2 linked regions of the Caenorhabditis elegans genome follow. The protein of the gene in region 1 interacts with the protein of each later gene in a pairwise test. Each region holds a gene or a part of one and is shown on either strand. Other genes may lie near its edges.

The links.
Region 2: the proteins of F54D5.9 (region 1) and skr-2 interact in a two-hybrid assay, tested with the Caenorhabditis elegans proteins (3 studies listed by BioGRID).

The regions. Positions count from the first base shown.
Region 1 is NC_003280.10:11,540,052-11,548,685, reverse strand, and holds F54D5.9 (F-box domain-containing protein), read left to right. Parts: upstream 1-3,857; 5' UTR 3,858-3,914; coding exon 3,915-4,062; intron 4,063-4,110; coding exon 4,111-4,317; intron 4,318-4,365; coding exon 4,366-4,542; intron 4,543-4,596; coding exon 4,597-5,238; intron 5,239-5,291; coding exon 5,292-5,555; intron 5,556-5,615; coding exon 5,616-5,875; 3' UTR 5,876-6,050; downstream 6,051-8,634. Other genes in the region: F54D5.7 (putative glutaryl-CoA dehydrogenase, mitochondrial), read right to left, coding at 1-227, 278-593, 649-789, 1,116-1,161; dnj-13 (DnaJ homolog subfamily B member 13), read right to left, coding at 1,715-1,844, 1,902-2,629, 2,835-2,972; gtf-2E2 (Transcription initiation factor IIE subunit beta), read left to right, coding at 6,196-6,273, 6,323-6,416, 6,464-6,555, 6,606-6,893, 7,543-7,860; dhgd-1 (D-2-hydroxyglutarate dehydrogenase, mitochondrial), read left to right, coding at 8,056-8,248, 8,322-8,634.
Region 2 is NC_003279.8:9,463,638-9,471,137, reverse strand, and holds skr-2 (Skp1-related protein), read right to left. Parts: upstream 1,485-7,500; 5' UTR 1,435-1,484; coding exon 1,354-1,434; intron 1,173-1,353; coding exon 903-1,172; intron 858-902; coding exon 684-857; 3' UTR 501-683; downstream 1-500. Other genes in the region: twk-29 (Potassium channel domain-containing protein), read right to left, coding at 2,286-2,362, 2,416-2,632, 2,680-2,875, 3,015-3,105, 3,751-3,818, 4,122-4,461, 5,179-5,251, 5,807-6,055 and 1 more.

The sequences.
Region 1 (8,634 bases):
GAACATCATCCATTGCAATCTGTCCAGTGATCGAGGCTCTCAATGAAAGTTTTCCTTCAATTTTTGGAGTCGTCAGTCCCTTCATTCCACGTTCCAGGATGAATCCCTTGATTTTATTGTTGTGGCGAGCACTTCTCGCCCAAACGACCATCACATCAGAGACAGGGCTGTTGGAGATCCAAGTCTTCGATCCATTCAATTTGTAGGTTTTTGTGGTCTCATCCCAGCTGAAAAACACAAGAGTTTTGAAAATGAATCAAATATTTTCTAGACTTACGTGGCCTTTGTCTCCATTCCTCCTGGATTAGATCCATGATTCGGCTCGGTCAATCCGAAGCATCCGATCTTCTTTCCACTCGCCAAATCGGGAATATATTTCTGCTTCTGATCCTCACTTCCGTAGTTGTAGATCGGTCCGATCACCAGACTCGTTTGCACACTCATCGTAGATCTGTATCCCGAATCGACTCGTTCCACCTCACGAGCGATGAGTCCATAGCCAACAGTTGATGTTCCAGCGCAGCCGTATCCTTGATATGGGGCGCCCAACAGGCCCATACTTCCCATTTCCGGAATCAGGGATGGGTCGAATTCTGGAAATCAAGACTATGGTAAAATTAAATAAGAATTCGGTATGGAGTGTCTCACTTTCAGTTCTGTAAGCTTCTGTGACACGTGGCAAAAGTCGCTCCTGACAGTATTCCCGAGCCGAGAGCATCAAAGATCTTTCGTCTTCAGTGAGCTGATCCGAAAGCTGGAAAGCATCTTGGTAGAACGTCGACGAGAGACCTGAAATATTTGGAGGGTGAGCTCAAGTTTGAGAATAATTTTTTGGGTGTAGTCGAATTTAGACGATATGTAAAAACGATACATCACAAAAATTTCGTTAACGTGAGTTATGGCTTCGAAATAGCGAATAATTCTAAATTTTTTGAACTTCGCGCGCGAACGAGCGCCCTCTGCGTGTACTCCTCTCGGACAATCATATAATTAATATGTTGATTATTGTTTTCGGCTAATTTTAGGTGATTGTTGCGGTTTTTATTGTATTTTTACAGCAGTCTTAATTAAATTCGACTACACCAGCCTTAAATATTAACTGAAACATTAATTACCTCTACTTGCAATCTTGCCAATTGACGTGAATCCTCTGGTCAGCATTTTTGCCGCTGCAAACTGGTAAAGAATGATGATGGTGTGCCCTCATCTCCTTTCTTTCAACGCCCGATATCATCTTTTACCCCCACGTGGCCAAGGACAAGACAATCGATACGATGAGGAGACAGATCAACTGAACACACGAAAATCACAAAACTTTCTTTTGCTTTAATTTAAAAGTTTATTTATCGGAAATGTTGATAAGGAAGCACGAATTAAAATTGAAAGAGGGGGCGGTTGAGGGGGGATACAATTACACCGAGTATCTTGTCAATGAAGGTTTTCATGTCATTAGAATGAGACTTGATAAACGATAAAAAATGCATCTGAATAACTATGGGCAATATGTGTGAGATGGGTAATTAACAATGAAACATGGGTGATAAAAAGAACAACATCCTAATAAAAAATCTCTTAAATACCCGCTTGAAAACATCGAACAAGGCGACTGAATACTGCTAAATCGAATCCAATGGCAATCAAGAGTGATTGTTTACCCGTCTTGGTTCGACTGTAGTTGATTGATAAGCAAGAGAGGGAAAATTGAAAAATGCGATTAGAAGTTCCTCAGAATCACTTCCCGTTGAGTTGGATTGAGTTGTGATGGGAATTCCACGTCAAACTCAATGATTAAATCTCCTCTGTGAGATGGAGACTTTGGATTTGGAAGTCCTTTTCCAGTCAGCCTGAAAGAATTAAAATTAATAATTTACTTCTCGTGAATCTCAAAATTTTTAACCTACCGTCTTGTAGTTCCCGGCTTAATGACATCGTTCAATTGAAGACGGTAGTCTGCTCCATCCAACGTTGGAATCATAATATCAAGGCCAGTCAATGCAGACTTCAGGGAGATCTTTTCGACGCGTTTGATGTCAGATCCCTCTCGCTTGAATTTCGGGTGTGGCTTATCCTTGATGACGAAGACTATGTCGGCGGGAGTTCTGTTCGGGTGCTGATCACCTTCTTTTGGGAATGTGATCTTTGTGCCTGACTTCCATCCTGGTTTAATAGTGACCGTCAAAACTTTGTCTTCTAGGCGTTGAGCATTGTCCGTCATAACTTTTCTTGTAATCTTCATCTTCTTCGTTGTACCTTTCAGTACATCCTCCAAACTGACAGAAAGATCATGGAGCACAGCAGGATCTTGACGAGCATGTCCACGTCTTCCACCTTGATGCATGCCGCCGAACATACCGTCATCCATACCACCTTGATTCATGAAGAACATATTCGGGCCTCCGGCTCCACCACCAAGATCAAACATTCCAGGTCCACCAGCACCGAACGGATCGGATCCTCCAAAGAATGATGAGAAAATGTTCATTGGGTCTCCACGGAATTCGTAGTGCATTCCACCGCCGCCACCACCTCCGGCTCCTGGTCCACCTTCCTTTAGTCCTTCCTCTCCGAATTGATCGTAAATCTTCTTTTTCTTATCATCGGAAAGAACATCGTAAGCTTCGGCAATTTCCTGTAATTAAAAAAAATATTATTTCAGGTTAACATCAATAAATTCCCAGAAAAACTGCAATTTTACTGGGATTTTCTATATTTTGATTAAAATCGTTTTTAAATCGAGTGCTTAAAAATAACAACTTGGTCATGAAAAGTACAGTATCCTTCACCGAGGACCAAAAACTTTTTTTTAAATTAGAAAACTAAATTTTAAAAAATACCTTGAATTTGTTCTCAGCTCCAGCTTCCTTATTCTTATCCGGATGGTATTTCAAAGCCATTTTACGATAAGCCTTTTTGATTTCATCGTCTGTTGCACCTTTGCTGATGCCCAGCACTTTGTAGTAGTCTTTTCCCATTGTGGAAAGTAATCTGAAAAGAAATCATATGAATTTTTGAAATATTAACCAGTAACAGGTTAACGGAATAAATGAAGCAACAGATAGATAAAAAGAATACACCCGGCAGAATAAATATGGGTCAACATCAGAAGAGGAAACACGGAGAAATGGAAGAGAGAGTGCGCCGAATCATGAGAGAGAAGAGTGCGGAACTTTCCAGAGCGTTCTATTTACTCGCGAAGCGCAGTGCATGTTCGATCTTCCGTCGGCCGGTGGAGCGCACATGCATCACTCGTTTTTTTTATTGAAAATACATTGGTTTCGCAAGATAAAAATGAGGAATGAATAAAAGCATGAGCACGATACAAAGAAAAGAATGAGCAAGAGATAAGAAATTGTGCTTTTTGGTATTTATTTTCTGAAAAAAGAATATTCTGGAAGGCGAAGTTTCGTCACGAAAAAATATGTTTGTTGGAAAGAATGATTTACGTACACTAGGAAGAAAAGTTATGCTTAAAATTCACTTGCTTATTTAAAAATTGATTATTTAAAACCTGAATTGTTAAAATTTAAATTATTCGAAGAGAAAATAAAGAGAAAAAATTGTTTCCATGAAATTAGTTTTGTTCTCGTGTATAAACAGCAATCAGATATTATTTTTAGAAAAGATTTTTAGAAAAAACTTTAATAAAACTGTATTGAATTAAACAATTTTAAAAATCAAGCCTCTATCCATAATCCAGAAGGCCTCCTGAACTCTGCGCTCGAAAACCCCTAGGCGCGCCGAAAAAAAATAAATAATGCGAAGAGTACTGTATCAAAGGGACATCAACGGCGCACAGTATGGTCCTGCCACGGAGACATATTTCTGTTTTCCTAAACAAGTTTGTGCGAACCTCCATGCTTTTTCACCGGTCCCAAAGTATTTTCCTCTGATTTTAAAGTATTTTTCGTATAAAAATGTTTCGGCGAACCGAGCCACCGTTCCGATTGTTGGCTAGAAAGCGAAGAAATTCCGATTCGACGCCCCCAATCACGAAGTTCTTTGCAACAGTAAAACGGGAACGTTCAAGCTCTGAATCGAAAAACGTATGCCAGAAGTTGGACGGTACGACAATTTTTCTTTTAATTTAAAATTAATTTTCTTGATTTTCAGAAAGTTTCGAAGCTCCCAACAACTTATCTCAAACCTCTCATACCGATTCACCAGACAATGGGCTTTTGTACTCCTTGGAGGATTTGCGAGCACTTTTAGGTGTTCCTGTCAAATTTTCCTCGAAATGTGTGCCATCTCCAGATGCACCAGTGGGCTTGGAAAACCTGCCGAATAGAGCCTATTCGCATATTTTCACAATTCTTGACAGTTAGTTGTGAAGTACTGATCAGAAATTTTAACATTCACATTTTTCAGTGCAATCCATTAATGCGCTTTCACTGACATCCACAAAGTTGTGCTCACGAGTCAAAACCTACGTTTCAACCCACGATTTTTTCCGTCGAATGCAATTGGATAATCTTGACTTTCTCAATAGCTCACTCCGCCCCGACGATGAAGAATTCTTAGAGAATGATCCTTTCACTGCATGTGGTTAGTGTTGCAATATTTTTATTTTCGTTTATAAATCTAAATGTATTTTAACAGGTGGCCTCATCAAATCCATCACGATCACAATGAACACAAAGATCCGCGCTCAAGTCTTCCTGAACATCTGCCGGAATTTGCGTGATCAACTCGGAGGCTCCCTTCATGGTTTTGGAAGACTCCTGGAAACGATAACGCACAATTGGAAGTTCTCTGAACGTCGTATAATGGTAAAAGCTGCAATCATGATCGACGCTGATCTCCGTCCTTCGATTATCAAGGTTCTTACTGCTAAACCGGGCCAGTTGATAGGTCTCGAGATGAAAGTTCGTTCCGGGTTGACCCAACTCTTCCTCAACTTGAGTCAAGACATCGATGAAGCTTCTCCACAGGAGATTATCGAGTTTGGCTCCTGGTTGTCTGTTCTGATCCGAAACGTAATTGAAAAATATCAGGGAAAGTTCTATTACATCCTATTCGGACCAACAAGATCTTCAAGAATTGGCGAACGCGTCGACTGGGCGTATTTCTGTGAGGACGATTCAGATACCTTCACTTTGCGGAAGAGTGAGCCAAACTATAGGAAATTGCTGTCAACGTTGCTCAATGGAATCCGCGCTCTTCGCATCATGAATAATTCCAAGAGTTCGGACCAAATGTGGAGCGGGAAGAAACTTTATCAGCTTTTCCTCCGGATCATTGGTAATATTTTTTTTTTTAATATTTTTAATTTTTAATAGCTTTTTAATTTTCAGAAGTTTGCGAAGTACAAGGCTTTTGGTCTGAGACCTCATCTTCTATGGCGCTGGCCATTGATTCTTCAGGATTGCTCAGCGAATATCTTGTCACCTGTCTCGATCCTCGCCGCGACGACTATGAAACTCTCCAGAATGAAGCCGCGGAGATGGTGTGTCTCGTACGCAACCATCTTTATCGTTGGTCGGCTGCACCTGCCACGTTTCTCGCCGAACCACTGCACCACGCATTCAATCATCTTGCGCAACTCGATGGTCATTACGGTGAGCGGCGTTCTGTCATCTTTTCGGTGCGAGAAATAACGAATATTATTATTATTACAGACGGTTGCTACAAAGCTTTTCTCGAAAAGATTTGGAACGTTCAAAGTTCACGGTTGAAGGAAATGGTAAAGAACGCGACAAACACAACCGAGTGTTCTGAAAAGATCCGCGAAGAGCTCGACGGTCAGCTCTCAATGGCTCGCCTGTTGACGGATATATCAAACACAGTGGTTCTTCACCAAATAGGCTTCCAGCTTCCAAATGACCTAGCTGCTGAACTCGTCAATGATCCACTAGAAGAAGAGGAGCAGCTGGAATAAATCATGTTTTATCTGTCTAGAAAATTTTGAAAATAGCTTCCAACTGTAGAATTAGTTTTGTTTTTGTTTTCTTTTACTTTTACTTTCACTTTAATTTTAATTTTAATTGTTCAAATTTAAAGCTCCTTTCACTCCTTGTTCCATCTTTCTCATTCTGATAAAATCAGCGAAAACTAATTCACTTTATTGTTTACTACAGGGTTCAGCCCCCTGCCACCATTATTTGCCGGCCACTGGCCTTGAAAAACCTCTTCCATCATCGATTTTCACTCTTAAGAGAGTACTCTTCATTGTTTCGAAAGGTTTTCGTTTAAGCAAAAATGGATCCGGAATTGTTAAGGCAGCGAACTGCTTTCCAGAAGCATGCTGCAACAACGATGGCTGTTCAGAATAAGCCTGTGAGAACTTTAAAAATTAAAAAAATATTGAATTTATCGATTTTTTAAGACAACAGCACCAAATTCACACACAACATACTCTTCAGAAGCAGCAAAAGCGAAAAAGAAGAAAAGCTCTGGACCGGCTCAAAATTTGTCGAAACGTTAGTTGTTAAAATGTAATATTAGTTTCTGAAAACGGAATTTTCAGTCCCAGATTTCAATAATTCCGTGAGCAACGCCAATGCGTTATCAAATGCCACAAATTTCAGTACAATGGCGAAAATTGTGGATTATATGAAGGTATTTATATTTTAAAGCGAAATTTTCGAGTTAAAAACAGTTAATTGCAGAAACGCCACCTAAACAATCAACAATGGCCGTTGACACTTCAAGAAATTCTCGATGAACTTCAAATTTTTGATCTTTCAAAAAGAAGTCTTGCTTTCCTTCAAGAAGCATTACCAAACAATCCTCGACTGATAATGGAATCCGAAAAATTCGCATTTCGACCACCTTACAAAATTAAAGGAAAAACTTCGTTGGTAGCTGTCGCGAGGAAACATTATCAGGACGGAAAAGGTGGAATTCTTGTGTCGGATTTGGCTGAGTGTGTGGCTAATTATGATGCACTACTGCAGGTGGGAATTTGAATAATTTATAACAAAAATAAAGTTTTTATTTTTCAAAAATTTCAGCTAAAAATTAGTAAAATTGATTTTAAAATTATCAGCGGCTTATTTTTCGTAGTAATTAAAATTTGAGTTTGTGATGAATTAGATCTTTTAGAATTTCTGAGTATTCAACAATGTGTTTTTTTTTGATTTTCAAATTGAAATAAATTGAAAATTAAATATATAAATTCACAAAAAAGATAAAATGTGTTGAAAATTTATAAAATAAAATTCAGAAATTACTTTATTTTCAGACTTTTGAACAAATTAACGTTATTTTTCAATTTTTACACGAATAATTTTGATCATTTTCGATCCCATAAGTTAAATATTCCACAAAAAAACATTGAAATCGATAAAAAAAAGGTTTGAAAAAATATATTTAATAAAGTAAAAAAAAATTATTACACTTTTCCAGCATAAAACCTTTTTCCTTAAAAAATTTTCAAAGGAAAAACATTTTTGAAGGCAGAATATTCTCATTATAACTTTTCAAAAACTAGGGTATTTAGGGTTAATTTTGATTAAAAATCAGAATTTTTAAATTTGTCAAACTGAAAAAATCAAAGTATAAAAAAGGAGCAATTTTGTGAAATATTAAATTAAATTTTTCCAGCAAGTATCCTCTGAAGTGATCGTTGTTCCGACACAAGTCAATAAGAAAAAGGATCGAGTCGTCTTCTACAATGACAAAGAATTCACATTCCCAGAGCTCGAAGACGATTTCAAAGCCTTGTGGAGACACGTGTCTGTGGATCATTTGGATGAGAAGAAAATCGAAGAATATCTCCAGAAGAAGGGTCTCGACGCGATGAAGGATCTGACGCCGAAGGTTCGAATGCAGGCTCCACTGAAAAGAAAAGCCGCGAAGAGACGGTTCAATCAAAAAGTACAAAACGAGCATATGGACGGAGTTTTGGAGGATTACGAATGATTTTAATTACACACTTCTGTTAACAGTACATAAAATGAACTATGATCATTTGTATCTCTTCTGTCTCTTTTTCTTATCACTGCCCAGCCGTTTGTTTTCTTATTGTTTTCGGCAAATCGGTCACCTAGCCGAGCTTTGTCTCCTACTATTTCTTTTGAAGTTTCAAGTTATTTTTTGAAAAGTTTCTGAATTCAGATGTTTCTGAAAATCTTGCCACGAATCAGAAGACCAACTAGAAGCTACGCAGCAGTTCTTGCCGCCAGACATGAAGGATTTGCAAAAGTGATGCAGTCGGATTTAATGGCATTTGAGAATTTTCTCGGGCAAGATGCAGTGAAGAAGGACGATATTACAAATCATACTACAGATTGGACAGGCCAATTTAAAGGTATTTGTATTTTAAGATTAGGTTTATTTAATATTAAATAGGTACTTTAAATATTAAATGTTTTAATTTCCAGGTCCTGGCAGTGTCGTCCTCTACCCGAAGAGCACCGAAGAGGTTTCTGCAATATTGGCGTATTGCTCCAAGAACAAATTGGCAGTAGTCCCACAAGGAGGGAATACAGGACTCGTTGGTGGATCAATTCCAGTACATGATGAAGTTGTTATATCAATGAATAAAATCAACAAGCAATTCTCTTTCGACGACACAATGGGAATTCTCAAGTGTGATTCTGGTTTTATTCTGGAAGACTTGGACAACAAACTTGCAAAACTCGGATATATGATGCCTTTTGATCTCGGAGCCAAAGGATCCTGTCAGATTGGAGG
Region 2 (7,500 bases), on another chromosome or scaffold:
TTGCAGATATTCAGAGATAATGTTTTTTAATTATATAAAATTAAAAAGAGAGCGGACGGCGTACATAATATAGTCTTTTCAGCGAATATCGGCACTCGATTTTTGATAGATAGAAAAAGGAGAATATCAGGAAAAAAAAAATGAAAGAAATGGAAAAAATAGATCTCGTTTTAAAGATATCGCAACTTTCAGTTAAATGCGGGGATTTAGCAGCGTCAGGCGCAATATGCGATAAAGTCATGTAAATACATTACTTGAATAACCCCATTCGCAATTAATCACAGAAAGTAATTTTCATTCACACGATCCGTAGCTTTTAAAACTGAGAAAAGTATTGTTTTTTTATTTATTTCGAAATCTACGCGCGCGGAAAACGAAGCAACTTTGGCCTAGAATTTCACATCTCGTCATCTTCCATTTCAAAAGTGAAGGATCTATAGTCCTGTTCAGACTAAAAAATACTATTGCTGTGGCTTTAAAACCAATTGCATTGTTTGCAATTTTCATGTTCACATCAACTTTATTGAATGAAAAACAGAACTGTACACAGTTGTGTCAGCTGGCAGTGAAGAAATTTGTTAACAATTAAAAAGTGCGTTTAATAAGGGGAAAGATATGGTGGATGATGTGAAACATTTAGAAAACAAGGTAATTGAAAGTTTAACAGGGGAAAAGATGGAGATTTAATCATCGCACCAGGCGTTTTCCTTACGGATTTGCTCTCTCTCCTCTGCAGTGAAGTCGTCCTTGATGTTGAAAGCACGACGAATTTCATCTGGAGATTTTCCCTTGATCATGTTGGCGACAGACTGGCAGGCGACATCAAGAAGTCCTTTGATGTCCAAATAGTTGGCAGCCTGAAAATAGGAATTTAAAATATTGCAACTAAAATAACAAGTTACCAAAATGAGCTCGAAAAGGGTTCCTTGGTCAATATCGAGAAATTTTTTGTCCCAGTCTTGGATGGAACCATCCGTTTTCTTCTCACTGTCTTCAGTTGGAATTGGGTCGGACTGGTGTTTGGTGCACCAGTTGATAACCTTCTTCAAAATCGAGGCAGTGACGTTTTGCACTGGAATTGGCTCAGCGTTGGTTCCTTCATCGTCGTCGAGCCCGAGGTCCACAAGAAGAGTGTTGAGAGTGTTTGAGAGACGGATCACATTGCGTGGGACCTGGAAGTTCAGATTGCAATTTTTCCCATGCCATCTAGCGTACAGTGCCGCTTTTTTTGTTGATTTATTAAAAATCAACTAGGCTACTAAACATTTTCTATAAGAACTGCGAAAGCGTCTTATCGACCCGAAGCCTAGTTTTTCAGATAAAAATGACAATAACAAACGAATTTCAGCTTACCAAGAAGATTTCATCATCCGAAGACGAGATCTTGATTTCGCGGTTCTTTGCTGCTTCGGATGCTTCCTTTTGGTCAGCCATCGTGTTGTAGTTGACTGGAATTAAAATTAGTTGTGACAGGGTCACTAACGAGAGAAGTGTACAAAAACCACGCGGAAAAAACAAAGCAATGGTTTCGTTGGAATTCTATCAGAATATCTGCAAAATAGAAAAACTATAACTAAAATAATAAGAAGAATGATTGAGAATACAGGAAAAAGATACTGGAATGAATTCTCAACGTCAATAAAAATCTGCTACTTATTGGTAGTCATCGAAAAATTTTAGCCAGAAAAATTGTATTTGAATATATTTCGAATTTGGTTGATGCTCAAACTACAAAACAATCAAGCACACCTGTATGTGAAAACATTTCAATTCTGGATAATTTAAATACTCAAGCTTCAATCATCCATCTATACATTGAGACGATTCACAAGAAATAGAAATCGCAACAAAAAATATTTGAAGACAAAAAAGAAAGTCGTTGAATGAACAACTCTTCGAAAAGCAAGTGACGATTGTTTGTTTCTTTCTCGAAGAAAACTAAAATTATAAATTTTATATAAAATTAGGAAAGAGAAAGTGTGCATTTTTATGTCGCGGTGTTTACGGAATAGTTTACCGTAACTTTTTGAAAACTTTAAAGAAATTGAATTCCTTCTGCGGGCGCAGTTTCTTCGAGAGATAGTAAATAAAATTGAGTTTTATATAATAAAATTGTATTATCAATTTTAAATATTCGATCTACCGACTTCACAAAAATAATAATGCTGTAAAATGTAATAATGTAGCTGGGAAAAGTTATATATGTTTTGTTTATGTCTATTTTTTTAAAGAAATTTTTAAAAAGTATTTATTTGAGATTTAAGAAAAGAAGAAAAAACAAAATGCTATGCATCTGTAGAAAGATCAGAGGTGATAGTTGTTGAAACATTCATAACGCCGTCGTGGCAAGCTTGATCTGAGTCTGAAATTGATTTCGTTAAAAATTCCCATTCACTTCAATTCTAGATAACATACCAGTTGAACCATTCAATTTGGCTTGCATTGCTCTTCGGCGTGGAATTGGAGACAATCGGGACGATGTGGTTTGTGATTTATCAGCAGCTGTTTCAGAATCAGATGTATCCTCTATTTCAGACATCATTGGTTCATCTTCAAAATGAACTGAAAATTTCTTAGGCCTCATATCAGTGAGATCATCTTCCGAATCGACAAAAAGTGGGAATTGACCATCCTGAAACATTATTTTCTTCGAATACTATAAAGTTTCAAATATCTCACTTTCATAAAAAGAGGAACAAGTTCTGGAGGCCATATTCCCTCAACAATCATATGTGTTTGAGGAACTCTTGAAAGTCTTCCCAATTTCACTTGAATTGCTGTTTTAACCAATGTATCAATATCTATGTCTGCTATCACATTCTGATCAATTCCAATATTCTGTCCAACTGCTGTGATGAGTTCTCGTACTTCCAAACTAAAAATATTAGCGATACAATTATTTTCTTTAATTAAAAGCTTTTTGACAAAAATAGAGAACGTTGTTATAGAAACAAATCGTAGCTAAAAGTTTTAGAACCAAATGAAACAATTTACGTCTCCTTTGCCAAACCCACTTCCTGGCACCGAACCAAATCCGAATGTTGGCAATGTTTTTTATTTTTTTGCCAATAAAATGTAGCTTTCGAACATAAATTGATCCAATATCTGAAAAAATTCTTGTTTGTAATATTTGGATATGATTAAATGGTCCCCACGGGAATACCATGTAAACATGCTCCAGAAAAAAGGCGAAAAATCAATTTACTAAAAGGACTTCAAGTTAAGTCTGAATTATTTCATGAGCTTCGTATAACAAAATGTGTTTTTAACTTTTGATAAAGTATTGTATTATAGAAATGTTTTTCAACAAAAATTTCTCAACTCAGTCAAGAGCGAGTCACGGCAACCTGGTCCAAAACCATTCCTAATTAGTAAACATAACTAAATAGCTCAAAATCATTGCTAACTAGCAAAAAAACATCGTTAATTAGCAAAAAGAGGCTAATTAGCAATGATATTAAGCTATTTAGTTATGATTTACTAATTGGGAATGGTTTTGGACCAGGTTGCCGTGACTCGCTCTTGACTGAGAAAGGCCATATGAAACTAAAATTGGTTGCTTAGTGAGACAACTGGGGGCTTTTTTGAAGTTGTTTCTGAATTGTTTTTTGCAAAGTTATGCCACTATCCGCGAATTATTTTTCAATTCAAATGTACTCTAGACTCTATATGGCCTGTAGATGCATTTCTAGTACCGAAAAATAGCTGAAAGTTCCACCATTAGAAGGTCGGTGTTTATTGATGACTTACCTAAAGCAATAGTTGATATGGCAAGTCCCGTGCACATGTAGAAAACACTGATAGGTAAGAACCAATTGCTGCAAAAAATTTCAAATTTTGAAATGTTTGTAGTTCTCGACTGAAGGTTGTGTATCATAATAGCTTTATTAGTCTTGCACACTCATAGCACTTTTTGGTAACCAATATATCGGTTGTCTTTAGGTCCATCAAAAATTTATCAACTGATAAAATTTTAATTAGTTCTTCTACTATAATTTTGTTTTTAACTTTAAAAAATATCAGAAAAATGTTAAATGGACAGAAATATAAGTTGTGGCAGTGGAGTGTTTGTACGAGACAAATTTAAATTTCAGTATATAATTCTTGTATAAAACACCCACTTTTGAGGAATAATATCTCCATATTCGATAGCTGTCAAGCAAATGAACGCATAATAAATTCCATTGAAAAAGTCAAATTGTCCACTCATCAATGGAATCATTGTTGCACCAAGTATAAGATAAACGAGTACAATAAAAAATAATGTACTTCCAGATACATTTTCATCTTCATCTTCCCGACGTCTTCTACATGAAATAAGTCTTCTAAACCTTGTTGCCATTGCCTCTAAATATCTTCCAAAATTTGTCAAGAGAATGACAGTTAGAGGGATTCCAAAAAATCCGTAGATCACTGTTGAAATACGTCCATTGATTGTTTGAGGCTCTATTTTTCCATACCCTGAAATTAAACTGTTTTTATTTAAAAAAGTAGATGAAACCACATTATTATTATCTGGAAAAGACGATCAAATTATTTAAAACAAAACTTTTTGCTGATCTATAATATATTGTCAGACAAAAGTAATGGGTTTTCTTTTCTTGGTTTTTGTTTACAGACATTCCAAGAAGATAGATGAGAGCAACTCCAACTTTTTCCAGATTTTTGTAGAAAATAGGAAACATATTAGCGTGAAAACAAAAATATAATCCCAAAACCCTCAGATTAGAAATGTCTTGATATTTGCAGGAAAGAGCCAAATTTCTATATCATCCCTGTCCTTTAAGAAACTATAGTTCAGTTTTCTTTATGATTGTTCAGATTCTGCTCATTTGTTCTTTTTTTTGCCCAGTCATGTTTATATACAATTGAGTTGAAGTGGATTATGTGTCTCCAACCAGATTTTGAAATTTTCGAAAAAAAAGTTTTGTTTTGACAAATGTCTCAAAACTTAATTCCCTTTTCCCCTCAATATTCCTTTTCAGAGAAGCAAATTTTTACCCGCAAAATACTGGAAAAAAGGCTTTTGTCTCAAGTACATTTGCATTTTTGTCTTGTCTTTTTGGCCTTTTCAATCCCTCAGGAGGATCCATTTGTCCAAGTCATCACTCAGTTGGCGAGTGTGTGACCGCTTCCTTTCAACTCCCATTTGAATCTTTTCTCAACTCAAAAACTAACCCAAAGTTGTCAAAATTCCAAGAGAGTAGAGAGCTGCAGATTTGAATGACCATTGCATACGATCGTCTTTGACCTGCAAACAAATTTCTAAAAAAAGTGATCTCCAGAACAATTTAAACTAATATTGACAGGCACATACCGCAACAACGACGACATCTTTAAAAAATTGAAAGTTTCTAGAAAATCCTTCTTAACGGGAACTTGATTTTTCACAGCGTTTTCGTGAATGAGGATTATGAAAAAAATAGAACTATTAAAACCCTTGTTTTAAATTCCTCCAATATGAGAACTGCAAGACCAATCAGCAATTTGCTCCGCCCACGTTCAAACCAATCAGGTATTTTGCCCATTTCATTCGATTGGTCCAGTTGTGGGCTAAGTTGAATTCTGATTAGTCGTGGAGTTCTCATTTTGTAAAAATTCAGATTTATAATCAGAGTAGAGAATTATAGTTCTTAAAATTGGATTATTGGTTTTTTTTGCCTAATATTTCAGAATGTTGGAGTAAATTCCCCATTGAAACTACTAACAAATGGGAAAAGTGTACTGTAAGTTTACATATTTCAGACTTTTTGACTGTGTTTCACTGGCCTATATTATCTTATTTGAAAACAAAAATCCAACTTACATTTTCTGTCAGACACCTCTCTGCAATTGCAGCAGCAACATCAGAAGCCCGTGTAAGACGTAATCGATTGTCCCGATTTAACAAGGATTCAATACACAATCGTTTTTCCAGTGTCGCATTTTGTTTCATATATTGCTGGTATTCAAACTCAAAATTTAAAAATATGAATCCTCCAATTGTTGTGTAAATTATCAGAAAGACTATAATGAATCCATTGACGGCTATTGCTCTTCGATTGTGTTGAAGGCACTGAAAGTATTCATATCGAGTAGATTTTAATCTTATTGAACATTTATGGAATACTGGTAAATTGAAAATTTTAAAAACAAATACCTCCCATATGGAATCATAATGTTGAGAATTAAAGTCTTCTTCTAAAAAAGCTTTCAATATATCTTCTTCATTTACACCATTACATTTCTTTAAATCATCATCGTCTTCGTCCAATCTCATGATTCGATGTTCGTGGTATTCTACCGTCGGCCCATAATATTTAGGGTGCAAAGGAGCAAAACTAGAGTCCTTGGGAAGAAAGAAAGAGAGAGGGAAAATGAATTTGTATACAAGTGAAAGAGATGTCTCGGAAAGAGAAAGAGGCGGAGAAAGGAGTGACAAGTCTGTCCGAGTCGTCATGCAAAAATCACTTCGAGCGGATACATTTCGGATTGGAGATAGATTCAACCAGATTTCGGACAATTTGATGGACTGACTGATGACGTTTTTGGAGAGCAGAGAAGATTCCACGTGGTGTTTCATGAGTCATTGCACAATGTGAATATTTTCTTCCGTCTCATCAAACTTTGCTTACAAAAATTACCAAGCTAACTCAGACATTGAAATTCAACTCACCATCCGAGAGCAGGTGCTATCGTTCAGTAGGAATTATATTTTAGTGGCAACTTGGCATATAATCTTGAACGTATTAGACAACGTTAAGTTTTTAAATCTAATTTTTTTTTCGAATACATTTTTTATTAATTAATCCCTCAAGATGGAATAGAAAATGAAGATTTTGTTGTGAAATATATAACTAAAATTCAGATATACCACAAAGGAAGAACAAAAAATCGATCGGGAAGGGATGAAAATCAAGTATAAGCACTAAACACATAAAACTTTGACTAATCGTCTGTCTGAATTTCATCCAAAAAGATACCTACAAGACCAATCAGTGATTAGCCGCGCCTACTTCTCAACCAATGAGACGGAGTTCGGAAATGTTGATTGGTTGGAGCGTGGACATGGCTTCTTTTTTGGTGGAAATTCAGACGAGAAGATTAGAAAATCTTACAAAAGTCCCATTTTTACTTATTGAGTTGCTCAATCGTTCGCGATTTGTTTCGCTTGTCTTTGTGGAACAAAGGATTTTTTCAGATTATTTTTTAATACTTTAAAGAAAAATCCCTATTCAACTAAACATATAAAATTTAAAACAAAATCAAAACAAACCCGTCCAAGCCCGAAGAACAGGAGAAGCGACATTCTGAACGGTGGAGCAACAGTCCTTGAAGCCAGTTTGATAGTTGTTGATTTTTCAGAATCTTTCCGACATTTTTTTCTTTCTGTCTTTATCTGAAACTTTCCAGTTAGATGTTTTCCAAAAAAATTATTCAAAAGTCGAATGAGCTAAAGAAAACAAAAAACAAATGCGGAAGCATCTTTAGATACAAATGCAGTGACTTTTGGCGTATGAT